Linked DNA regions of Mus musculus. The protein of the gene in region 1 purifies or fractionates together with the protein of each later gene. This does not show direct contact. Links are inferred from orthologs where the notes say so. Each region holds a gene or a part of one and is shown on either strand. Other genes may lie near its edges.

What was found.
Region 2: the proteins of Inava (region 1) and Cyth1 purify together in Homo sapiens (co-immunoprecipitation; 3 studies listed by BioGRID and IntAct, counting the BioPlex papers as one, with this or other methods). This does not show direct contact. The link is inferred for Mus musculus from reciprocal best matches to the Homo sapiens genes INAVA and CYTH1.
Region 3: the proteins of Inava (region 1) and Cyth3 purify together in Homo sapiens (co-immunoprecipitation; 3 studies listed by BioGRID and IntAct, counting the BioPlex papers as one, with this or other methods). This does not show direct contact. The link is inferred for Mus musculus from reciprocal best matches to the Homo sapiens genes INAVA and CYTH3.

What each region holds. Positions count from the first base shown.
Region 1 is NC_000067.6:136,223,804-136,227,945, forward strand, and holds part of Inava (innate immunity activator protein), read right to left. Parts: intron 3,860-4,142; coding exon 3,711-3,859; intron 3,102-3,710; coding exon 2,977-3,101; intron 2,466-2,976; coding exon 2,349-2,465; intron 1,756-2,348; coding exon 1,533-1,755; intron 1-1,532. UniProt on the Homo sapiens protein: Expressed in peripheral macrophages and intestinal myeloid-derived cells, is required for optimal PRR (pattern recognition receptor)-induced signaling, cytokine secretion, and bacterial clearance.
Region 2 is NC_000077.6:118,168,135-118,172,276, reverse strand, and holds part of Cyth1 (cytohesin-1), read left to right. Parts: intron 1-1,379; coding exon 1,380-1,451; intron 1,452-3,106; coding exon 3,107-3,261; intron 3,262-4,142. UniProt on the Homo sapiens protein: Promotes guanine-nucleotide exchange on ARF1, ARF5 and ARF6. Promotes the activation of ARF factors through replacement of GDP with GTP.
Region 3 is NC_000071.6:143,684,729-143,688,870, reverse strand, and holds part of Cyth3 (cytohesin-3), read right to left. Parts: intron 2,399-4,142; coding exon 2,334-2,398; intron 1,894-2,333; coding exon 1,827-1,893; intron 1-1,826. UniProt on the Homo sapiens protein: Promotes guanine-nucleotide exchange on ARF1 and ARF6. Promotes the activation of ARF factors through replacement of GDP with GTP. Plays a role in the epithelial polarization.

The sequences.
Region 1 (4,142 bases):
TTGGTTCCTCTGCCCTCTATCTCCTCTCGGACTAAAGGCTCTGAGAAAATCAGCCTTCTTCCCTCCTACACAGGGTTAAGCCAGAGCCCTAGGCATGTCCTGGCCTGCTTCTTCACTCCCAACAAGGAGTGTCATCAGTCACAATGGCAGTAGTAGTGACATTCCCCCCAAAGCCCCGCCCTGCGCAAAAGCTCCTGGCAGTGCCAGCACCTATGGGCAAAGGAGCTGAACAGTGCACGTGAAGAGGGGTGTGGAGACAGGTCACATTTCTACACTAATGGCTCCTTCAAGTACAGAGGTGGCCCTCGGGGACCATTATACCTCCATCAGCATGTGCCTTACCATACCCAGGGCCTGTGGAAAATGAAGAACTGAGAATGACTTTTTCCTTAGAGTCTTGGCGAGTGACAGTGATGTCCTATATTAGGGCCAGAGCCACTGAAAGCAGAATAGGGTTTGGCCACTAAGCCCAGTTTTCCTGGTCAGTCAAGACATGGAAGAACACGTTGTTCCTTGCCATCTACGCCAGGCTTCCAAGGGTGGCCTGGCTGGTGTCTGTTCAGACGCTTTGTCCTGGAGGTCACAGGTACTGAAAGCAATGCCTGCCTGAGGCACACAGCATAGGGGGTGGGGAGGACCTTGAAGCTTCTACTGTGTCCAGCCAGAGAAGAGAATTGCAGGGCAAGAACCAGCTGATATTCGAGTATGGACCAGGACATGGGGAAGCCTGCTTGCTCCCCAGGCTGAGCCTGAGGCTCTGGGTAAAGAGCAGCTTGTCCCTCTTACCACTTCCTTAAGACACAGCCAAGCAAGAGACTGACTCCAGAGCTGATCTGGGACTGGAGGAATGGAGGCTACAAGTCCCAACTTGACAGGATTTGGGTCAGGACAAAGAAAACGGTCCCATCTCAGGGTTCAAAAGCACTAGAAGCTCACCAGACCGGGCACACTGAAGTCATTTGGCTGGCTCTGGTTCTGAGGTGCCCCGCAGCCTCATCTCTGGGTCAGGGCTCAGTCACTAGGCTACAAGAACGGTTCAGCACTCTTGACCAGTTGCAGACACTGACGGGACTGTAGAGTTATGACTGGATTTCAGTCTAAACACCCATGCGTATGTGGCCCTGAACCCATCAGTCATTGGCTACCCATAGCAACAGCAATTCCCTAAAGATGCTGAACGAGCATCGCTGCAGAGCCTTCTGCCTACTGAACTTTTCTCCCTCAAGATAGTATTTGAGTTTGAATAAACACTTGGATTACTATCAAACAGAGAAAAGCCTTCTGTCTATAAAGTCTTGTGGGAGCGGTACACTACGTGAGAGATGCAAGCGGAATGAAGGTCTCCCAGAGTGGAGATGCCTTGTCGGGTACATAGGTAAGAAAGGACCTGTTTGGACCCAGAAAGGAGTACCCTGATGGCGCTGACGAGAAACAGTATTAGCACAGGCGCTATCGAAAGCATAACGCAGGGCCACACTGGCCGTCCCACAAGAGCTGTGTGAGGCTTTCATGGCTCAGGACAATGGGCTCACCTCTGCCCAGGGAGGGCACAGTGGTAGGAGGGGGCTCACTGTTCCGCCGCCGATCACCCAGGCAACGCTGAAGGTCCCGCAGCTTCTTCTCCTCCTGCAGCGCAGCGTGCTTCCGCTGCCTGCGTGCCTGTCTGCTGAGGTTCTCCTCTGCACACAGCCTTCGAGCCGCCTCGGTGATCTGAAGCTGCAGAGCCAACTGGCGCTCTAGGCTGCTCAGGGGGTCCTGAGGGAGGGGTTGGGGGTGAGGGCTAAGAGGGTCCTCGGCGCTTAGAGGACAGAAATCTCCAAGAGACTCTGACCCAGTTGTGAGCAGACTGCAGTGTCCAGGGATACACAGCAAAAGGTGGGGCACTGGGAGCAGCCCAGAGCCAACTTGTCACCATGAAAAGTTGCCACAATCGTCCCACCCCCTGCTACCTGCTGTGCCGGGCTGGGAGAAGACTTAAGTAGGTCACTTTCCTTCCTGACCCCAAAGGACCAAGCATGTCAACCTACAAAAATCTCTCCAAGAGGAAGGTCATCTAGGGTTGGAGTGACCCTACTCCCTTCCACCTAGGCTGAGAAAGGATAGGCCTCGTGCCACACCAACCTCCCTGAATAGGCAACTGGCTTTTTGAGCTGGTTATTGGTCTTTTTAATCCTCTGCCACAGGGGCCAAGCTGCTGAGGTGGCATGCCTACTCAGAGCCATCTGGACCACTCCTGAGAAGCCTGGGATTGGCCACCGCCCACATGGATGACAGGGATTGCCAGTGCACTGCTGGTAGTCAGCCTTTGGGGATGAGGTACAGCGACCACCTCCTCTGACGTTCCTCACCTCTCTGTGGAGGGCCCACTCATCCAGCTTGTACGCTGCTCCGATCCTGCGCCGGACCTTGGGGGCCTTCTCACCAGGCTTAAGGGGATACTCTGCCGGCAAAGTCCCAGTCAGCTCCTAGAGGGGGGCAGAGTCAAGTCGGGCCCCTTCACCCCTCTCTGCTTGCCCAGCCCTTGACCGATCATTTAAAACTTCCCACCCAGCTCCACACTGCATGGACCTGATATTCCAGAGGCCCCTAAAATGGCGGGACACTTGTACCTCTGCCCACCTCGTCCCATCTGCCACAGTTGTCTTCCTCCCGCATCCTTGAAGAACACTTCTTCTCCCTTTGCCTTCTTATCCCCTCTGGTCGCTTCCTCCTGAGGGCCACCCTGACCCAAGGTACAGCTATCAAATGCGCTTCCATCTCTTTGGCCCCTCTGCACATCCCCTCATCGCTTCCTTTCCTGTACTTGAGACCCTACTCAGGTCTACCCAGTGTCCAGGTCAAACCCGAATGACAGAAACTCTAGGCCCACACCTCAGTCTAATTTCCAATCCCCTAGAAGGGTTTTCCCCTTGGTATAGTTTTGAGACTCCTCAGATGAATGCTAAGTTTGGGGGGGCAGGGACTTAGGAACCTCACCGCCTCCCTCAGGCAGAGTCTGCGCAGCTCCTCCAGGCAGGCCTCCAGCCTCGCTTCCAGAGCCCTCTGCTGCTTGCGTACTGCATTGGTCAGCTCTTTCATTGGAGAGACAGGGCTGTCCGGGCCTGCAGGGAGATAAGAGACACCTGCTCAGGAACGCTGAAGCAAGGCATCCCTAGGACACTGTTGGCCACCTCTGGGGGAGTGCACACCCATACCGTCTCATGCTTGCCCACAAATTACAGGCTAGCCGTTATGGCTTGTGTCACAGCCACATCATGTCTCCTGGCTGCTATAGTTCAAAGGGAGAGCTGTCCCACCAGGGTGACCTGGGTGTGGGAGGGGCCCATGTGTCTTCTCTTCCTCCTCCTCTCCCGTCCTCTATCAAAACCAGGCCAGACTAGACCCACGGGCTCAAGCGTAGTAGGGATGGGACATTAACACCAGCAAGATACAGTGTTCCCACTTCTTAGTAAGCATTGGAGCTGAAGATGGACAAAACTGATCTCTGCTCCAGATAGGACAGGAACTCCTGGCTGGTTGGTGCCTTCCAGCAAGGAAAACGGCAGTTCCTTGAGGTGCCAGATCTTCCAGCCGTTCCACTTCTCCAGCAGGAACCCCTCCGTTCCCTCCTCTCCCCAGCCCTTTGGGAGGTCTAGCCCAGCTAGCCCAGGGCCTAGGGACTCACTCTGGAGTCAGGGAGCAGGGCAGGGGAATTTCCTGGATCCACTCACCAGACTGCAGGATGATGCCGCTGTCGGAGTCACTGACTTCATCCTTACTCTCCATGATGAGTTTCTGGGAAGAGGGGGCACAGAGGAAGGAGGGGCTGCACTGGTCCCAGCCTGGGCCAGGATGTGTAGGTAGTCTGGAGTGTTCCCAGCTTTTAAGAGAAGATAACAACCAAAATGCTCTATGAAGTCTCAATGCTTGAGCGTCGGGAATGGAAGTGCGGGTTGTGTCTCTGGAATGATCTGGGGGGAGGGGTTCTCAGTGTGCTCTGGGGTGGGAAGGCATTCCAAGGGAGGGTTCAGCCTAGTCCCTCAACCCCCCCAAAAAGTCTTTGGGTCCAAAGGGGCCTACTGCACTGGTGGCTGTACAAGAATAAGAAAGAGAACAGAGAGAAGAAAAGGAGGAGATGGGAAGATTGGACAGGCTGGCAAAGC
Region 2 (4,142 bases), on another chromosome or scaffold:
ACCCCACTCACCCCCTCTCTCCAAGTGTTCCCAGCCAGTCTCCCAGTCTCTTTCCTCTTCTCTTTCTCTCTCTCCTTCACAGTCCTCTCATTTTCTGCCTCTATTCTTTTCTCAACTCCCCTTCCCATGCCCCCAAATAAACTGTATTCTATACTATACCCATCATATGGTTGGTACGCCCGCTGAGGTACCCCCTCCCACTGCACTATCCCATGCTCTATAAAAGATATCATTGGCATTATAAAACACATTAATGCTATTGTGATAGAAAAGTAAGTACTAGATGTGACCCAGAGCACCCAGTTAGAAGGTGGGCTTTGAGTGGGGGAAGGAGAGCGAAGGTGAAGTAGGTTACCTGCTGCAGTTAGCTCTGAGTGGCATAGCCTGAGGAGCCCGATGGTGCTGAGGAGAGCCCAGCATTCCCTAGCTCAGTTATTGAGACATGGGCAGGAGGAGCTGTGTCTCCTGTAGGTGTCCTCTCACACTGCAGGCGCAGAGGAGCAGCTCGGATCAGGTGTCCTGAGGCCAGCACTAAAATGCTTGGCAGGAAGAGGATAACTTCCCACGGGGTTTAGGGAACTATCAGAAAGACGTATTTGTTTGTTTTTCTTTTATACAATTATAGAACTGGATTTGGTTGGTTGGTTGGTTGGTTGGTGGGATTGCTTGTTATTGTCATATTGTGCCTGTGTCACTCTAATCAGTATGCTTGAGAAGCAACAGGTTTTGACCAAGGTTAGCTGGCTGGTAGGGGTAGAAGTCTGTCCATGGTAAGGGCCCTGGCTGATGAGATGCACAGTCCCAGAGAGGGCCAGTTGAGGTGGAGGGAGGGGTGAGATCTGTCTGTCTGGACCTGAGCTCCAGCACCAATATGGATCTTGGGGCCGCTGTCCAAAGGACAGTGTTTCCCTAAGGACACACATCTGGGTGATGGGCAGTGGGCAGGAGGCAATGGGAAGTTCAGTTGCAGTTCCTCCATCAGGCACGGGCAGGAGTACCTGGGCCTAGGCTGGGAAAGGCTCCCAGAAGCTAGTGGCACAGAACCAGGAGGAGGAAAAGGAAAAGGAAAGCCTGGCAAAGACATGGAGGAGGGGGAAGGCCCTTTCTTAGGGAAAATGGGCCAAAGTGTTCCTGCTTGAGACTCGTGGGTCATTCATTGTCAGGCATACTTTGATGGCACCTGCTGAGCCCTCTGGCCTTGTTATCTGTAAAAAGCTTTGGATTTTCCAGCCACACCACACACTCATGACCCTATTGTTAGAACCCAAGCATGGCCTGAACCAACCTAGGAGCTTCAGGGAGGAGTCAGGATGGGCCTAGGGAGGAAAACAGGTGTTTCCTCCACAGAGAGTAAAGCCTTTCTCTTGCACCTGTCCCAGGACAAAGAGCCCCGCGGGATTATCCCCCTGGAGAACCTGAGTATCCGAGAAGTGGAGGACTCCAAAAAGCCGGTGAGTGTCTTGCTCCTGTGCCCAGAGTGGGGAAACAGCTGGGATTATGACCTGGAGAACCTGAGACTCAAAGCCTTCACCTTTACCACCTCCACCATCTCTTCTGATTGTCCTTACTTTGCAAGTCTGTCTGCTTCGGTGCCACATGCTGACTTTGAACCAAGATCTAGGAACTGTCTCACAGCTGTGAGCACCCATAGCTTGGTGCCAGTTTTATAATTCCGATGCACTATATGGCTTGAAAGCAGCTCACCTGCAGCCCTGCACATGCTCCTATCTGTCAGGAGCGGAGCCAGCTGGTGTCAGGCCAGCCTTTCAGCCAGCGGGCCTGGAAACATAGTTGAAGTGTTCTATTCTAAGCTGCTTTTTTCCATAGGAAGAAATCGTGTCTATGTGCCCATGTGTGCATGTGGTGAACTTCATTGTCACTCTTCATTGTCACTGTCCACCTCATTTTCTGAGTCAGGGTCTCAGGCTGGGGAGATGGGTGGGTGGGGAAAACATGAGACAAGAGCTGGCAACACAAGAACCTGAGTTCAGACCCCAGAGAAGCTGGGTGTGATCATGTGTGTCTGTGACTTCCACAAGCCACGGGCTTGCTCACCTAGTGTGCAGTAGGAAAACAGCAAGGAGGCCCATCTCAAACAAGGTAGAAGACAAGGGCTGACACTGGAACTTAGTCCTCTTCATTCCATCCCCATACAGTACACTGCATTACACACACACATGCACACATACAAGACACACACACACACACAGTGAATATGTATGTAATTTTGTTTTTTGAGACTGCAGTCCTGGCTGTCCTAGAACTCTCTCTGTAGATAAGGCTGGCTTCAAACTCATAAATCTTCGTGCCTCTGCCTCCTTGAATCTGGGATTAAAAGCATGTACCACCATGCCTTGCTTCTTTTTTTGGCTTTTTAAAAAACAAATCCTTAAAAAGAGAGTCCCTGGAAGCTTGTAGGCCGAATAGCCTGATAAACATAACAGCCAGATCAAGAGATCTGCCTCATATAAGATGGAGGGTGACTTTGCTTGTCTTCTGACCACCACACTTGTCATGGCATGTGTTTGCCCACATTTACATACATGCACACACACACACCAACAGTGTATCTTACTGGGAACTGGGTTTTTCTGCTGGCCTGGCTGGCCAGCCCTAGAGTCCCAGCAGGCTCACAGCTTCCTCCTCCCATTGTTGGCATTGCAAGTCTATGTGTATGCCACACCTGGCTTGCTATTATATATTTATTTTTATTTATATGTTTGTTTGTTTAGTTTTGGTTTTCAAGTCAGGGTTTCTCTATGTAGCCCTGGCTGTCCTAGAACTGAGTTTGTAGACCAGGATGGCCTTGAACTGAGATCTACCTGACTCAGCCTCTCGAGTGCCAGGATTAAAGGTGTGCATCACCACACTCGGTCTACGCCTGGCTTTGTCGATTCAGGATCAAACTCAGCTCCTCGGCCTTCTATAGCAAGCACTTTACTAGCTGCCTTATGTCCGGTGGTCTCAGAAAGTGCATGCTCTGAAAGTGCTCTCTGACACATCTCTCTCGAGAGTAAAGACAAAGAGTCTTTTGGGAAATGAATAACATTTTCTTTGATCAGCAGCTTCCTGAAATCTTACTGCCACTTTCTCGTGTTCTCCTCAGAACTGCTTTGAGCTTTATATCCCTGACAATAAAGACCAGGTGATTAAGGCCTGTAAGACAGAGGCGGACGGGCGAGTGGTGGAAGGGAACCACACTGTGTACCGCATCTCAGCCCCAACTCCGGAAGAGAAGGAAGACTGGATCAAATGCATCAAGTAGGTGGCTCCCTCCCAGGCAAGCCGCTTACCCACTCACCTCATGAGGTCCTCTCCGCTGCACTTCCTGTCCTGCCAGCCCTGAAAGGCTGCAGGGAGGTTCCCAGCTTGCTTCCCAGCAGGCCTTTGGATTCCTGCCTGTTGGAAAATTAGTAAGCCCTGTCTCTAGCCTAGGTACCCAGACAGTCAAAGACCCAGAGCGGGGATGAGTGCCACTCACCCCCATTGTGAGAGGCATCTCTTCCTGTGGCAGCTCAGTGTGACGAGCACTGGGCTTTATTAGACCTCTCATCCAGTGAGACCATTCTCCAGTTTGAGACACAGAAACTGAGGCCCACAGGTTTTGAGAGTTATGAAAGGTTCCAGAGCCTTGATGCAAGGCCGTAAAGCAGAGCTCCAGCCCCTCCCATATGCTGTGAGAACACAGGCGCCTGAGTGAAGGGAGCCACTTAAAGTCCACCATTAATCACAGTCCCATGGGTGAGGTTTACCTCAGGGACAGGCCTGCCCAGGGTGGCATGTAACTGGAAACAGGCTTTGCAAAGCCCATTGGTAGCTTCGTCAGCCTTGTTCCCTAGGATTCATGTGAAGCCTGGGCTGACAGGCATCTTTCTCCTATCCCCAGGAAGACAGCCATTGAGCACTCTGGCTTCTCCACCCTCTTGGCAATTATTTCTCCCAGTAATGTATACCTAATCACAGTCCTGGTACTGTGGCCGTCAGGTGTTTTCCTCAGAGAGCTTTCCTTGTTATCTGGGCTTCGATGACCTAGGAAGTGAGGAGGGCGCGCCATCAGGCCACAGGCTATCTCAGTGCTCTCAGACATGAGAGTCTGATTTAGTGTAGTATTTTGGTCAAGATTAGGCAGAAAGTAAGTAAGT
Region 3 (4,142 bases), on another chromosome or scaffold:
CACCAAACCCGCCATGATCACACCAAACCCGCCATGATCACACCAAACCCGCCACGACCACACCAAACCCGCCATGATCACACCTTCTTCTGGAAATGTATAAACCTTAGTTTCACCCTGCTTTTCATGGCAGCCCAAAATCTTGACATTTAAACCTGTATGTGCCTCTCAATACCTAGAAAACCTCAGCAGTTTTTATTCCTCTCCTTTCTTATAAAATATACTGAGCGAATTTGGGTCTTCTAAAATACATTTTTTCATAGAACTCTCTTCTTGTTTAGACTTGGGGTTTGTTGGTTTCTTTTTGTCTTTTGTGTGGCTGTTTTAGGAGACGGCACATATCACATTCTGTGGTTTAGGCTGACCCTGAACTTGATGATCCTCCTGCCTTAGCCTCCCCAGTACTGGGGTTACAGCACCCCTGGCTCTGTGCACCTTCTGTATTCTGGGTGTGTTTCTTGTTTTAGGTATATTTACTCAGTTTCTCAATACTCAGACAAGGTCTTAGTGACTAACTTTTTGAGTCCCTGCATGTCTAAAACTGTCACTGCTTTGATTTTTCCATTAGGGACAGTCTGGACAGAGTTCTCAGTTTTAAATCATTTCTCCCCTTACACCCTAGAAGAGACTGTTTCGCTACTGTGCCTGACACAGCATTCTCTGGTAATACAGCTCCAGACTTCCTTGATCTAATCAAACCTTTCCTGATTTATTTATAAACTCTAGTGTTACTTCTAGACTCTAGCCCACTGAACAAAGTCAAAGCTCTTTGCTTAAAGTGTCATCGCTCAGAGGCTGACAGTCCCTCCTACCTGAGACTAGTCACTCTGGCATTTCCTTGTGCTTTCATGAGGTGACATGGCACCCTATGACACAGGCATAAATAGTGTTCTGAGCTACAAAGTGAGATTTTCTACTGTGTCTGTGGACTAATTGTATATGTCCCTCAAGATGCACACACAAAGCCCCAACCCTGTGACAGCCAGTGAAGGCAGAGACTGTGGGGTGATCAGGTAAGACAAGCTCATTTGGAGGTGCCGGGGTGGGTCAGGGCATACAGCGCCTGAGAAGAGGAACTCCAAACCCAGCTTCCTCCACAGCCTCAGCACATGAAAATTCAGAAAGAAGGCTGCCATCTGCACGGAGAGGAGGGACCTCAGTGAACACAGCATGAAAGCACCCATGGGTTCAGACCTGCAGGCTGAACAGAGAAGTGTGAGAAGAAAATCTCTGTGGTTCCCATCCCTGGCCTGGGTGCTGTGTTCACTTCCATGCATGCCAGTTTGTATGCATCCCAGGCTAGCCTCCAGTTGGCTTTGTAGGTCAAGACGACAGTGAGCTTCGGATCCTCTGGCCCTCCTGTTTCTACCTTCCAGCACTGGGCTTACAGCCTCACTCCACCAACCTGGTTTTCAAGGTGTGGTATTTTGCCATAACAGCTCAAGCTGACTAAAGCAAGTATCACAACCAAGTCTACAATACTAAATGATTTAAAAAAAATTCATGTGCAGACTAAATGAGCTTTAATTATAAATAGTTGAATAGAACCAGTAATTAACATAAAATTCATAAAAATACTTTCAGGTCAAAAGGGACATCGAGTGAAACCTACTAAGCGATTCACCACAGCCTGACTAAGCCCTGACGCCCTTGGATGTGGTGGGCAGACCTGGGGCTCTCAGCAAGTGACCGACAGGCCTGCACCCAGAGCCCCAGACCATGAGAAAGGTCCAGGTGCTTGTGACAAACTGAAACATCAACTCCATCTTTTCACAAGGCCATGGGAGTCAGCCATTTGCATGCTGAAGGCCAGAACTGTTCCTCACCTTTTTGGGGTCCATGTTGAATTTCTTCCTTCCCATGGCTATTTGCTTGTTCCTCTGAGTAGTTTTGCTATTGGTTTTAAACAATTTTGAAAAATCATTAGTATTTCACAGAGTACAGCAGAACCACACATCCCTGTTCCTTTTCCATCTCAGGTCAACCTGGGCATAAGGCAGTGGTGTCCCGCAGACCCTACTGCCCTCCACAGGTGACACTGCTGCAGCGTTTTGCATTTTCATGAACAGTAAGACTTCTTCAGAAAGGCTAATGGTGAAAAGCAGGGCCTTGCTACAAAGCAAGACTTTAGAATCCTGTTCTCATAATACAGAGTTAACTCAGAGTCCCTCTGCTTACTCCCACACCTACAAAGTTGGCGAGGACACAGGAGGCATGAGGAAGGATGGCCAAAAGCCCAACTTCCCAGCCCAGCCCTTGCTCCTGCTATAGTGGCTGGAGGAGGTGGCAGAAATAAAGAGGGGGAGGAGTCTCAACAGCCACAAGCATTTTACCTCTCCTCCACTGAAGTCAGGTTGTCAATCTCCGTCATCACTTCTGCAATTTCATATTTCAGCCTCTGTTAGAAAAGAAGGAGCCAGGTCATGGGGTATCTTCACTCTCCTATACTCATAGGCTCAGAGACATCCGATCTTCTCCAGGCACACGCTTTCCTAAGGACTCATATGAGCATCACAAGGCCCAAACTCAACATCTGTACCAGTAAGGTAGACTCAATGCCAGAGGCAGCACAGCACAGAGAACACAGGCAAGCAAGCATACACTCATGCACGCACACTCATGTACTCACACACTCATGCACACGCATATTCATGTACGCCCACACTCATGCTCGCCCACACACAATCTCCACCTCTCATCACACATATCACATGTGTCTAACTAGGCAGGCTCTTGAGTATCTGTGTAAAAAATCAAGAAGGGAGTAAACAATACAAAAGCATGGACAGGCAAGCCGGGGTCCTTAGCTAAACCATGTGGTCATCACATATAACCAGACGCATGGGTAGCCTGCATTCTGAGGGGAGCAGAGACTTGGATATGTCTAAGTTGACATCAGGTTTGCCAACCAGTCTCATGACTGTCACTTCATAAAAGATGAAGCCCCTCAGGGCTAGAGAAACGGCTTAGAAGTTAACACACTGTGCTACCCTCTTCCAGAGAACCTAAGTTCAATCCGTGCACACACATCAGATGGCTCACACCACTTAAGTCTAGCTCGAGGGGGTCCCATTCCTCTGGCCTGTGGGCACCTGCACTCATGTCCATAGATACACACACATATACATCATTTAAAATAATAAAAATTCAAAGTGATGATTAGTTACGATTCTCTTTTGTTTTTTGGTTTTTCGAGACAGGGTTTCTCTGTGTAGCCCTGGCTGTCCTGGAACTCACTTTGTAGACCAGGCTGGCCTTGAACTCAGAAATCCGCCTGCCTCTGCCTCCCGAGTGCTGGGATTAAAGGCGTGCGCCACCACGCCCGGCTAGTTACGATTCTTTTTAAAAGAGCAACATGAAGCCCTAAGAACAAGGCCCAACTCAGAGACATCAGAAACGGAGGGGACAGAAAAGGCTCAACCCCCTGTGGCTGGCTTCCCCACCTCTCTGCAGTCAGAGTTCAGGGAAGGGGCCGTGTTATTAAGCAGTACAATCACTCTGTCCACACGATACCCACTCTCACTCTTTAGATAAAGGACTTCTCTGGTTTGCAGAATTTTCCAAGAATGCAGGCTAACCTGACAGCCAAACAGCCACCAATTACCTCTCAAGTACAAAGACATTATATTCAGAACCCTATTATGTATGTGCCAACAAGTTCAAACTTAAACAAGTTCCTAGAAAGGAGCCATTGTCTAGGACAATCGTGGCCTGTGAAGCAACATTTACTTTGGCAGTGACAGTGACTAGGAGGCCCCTCAAGCCAAGCCACACAACCATCTTTCCTGAGGACCAGGCGGCCCCTGCGTGCCGTCTGAAGCAGCTCAGATCCCCAGCTCTGAATGTATTGTATGTAGCTTCACTCAGCTCTTGCCCTGTGGGACACCCTCCGCCCTGGCCTCCGAGTCAAGTCCACAACTGTGGGAAGGCACTGTTTACCCATCGGTTTTATTTATCTTCGTTTAAATTTGTTATTCTGCCCTTACCAAGCAGGCACATGGTATATAGTTAGAATCCAACAAGTATGCTTGTCTGTCTATTCAAAGGACACAGACTGCCAAAGATATAGCAGGCACTTCTCTAAGTGCCTGGAATAATATACACAGAAAAGGGCAGCTTGTGCAGGGCTGTTGCCACTGCTT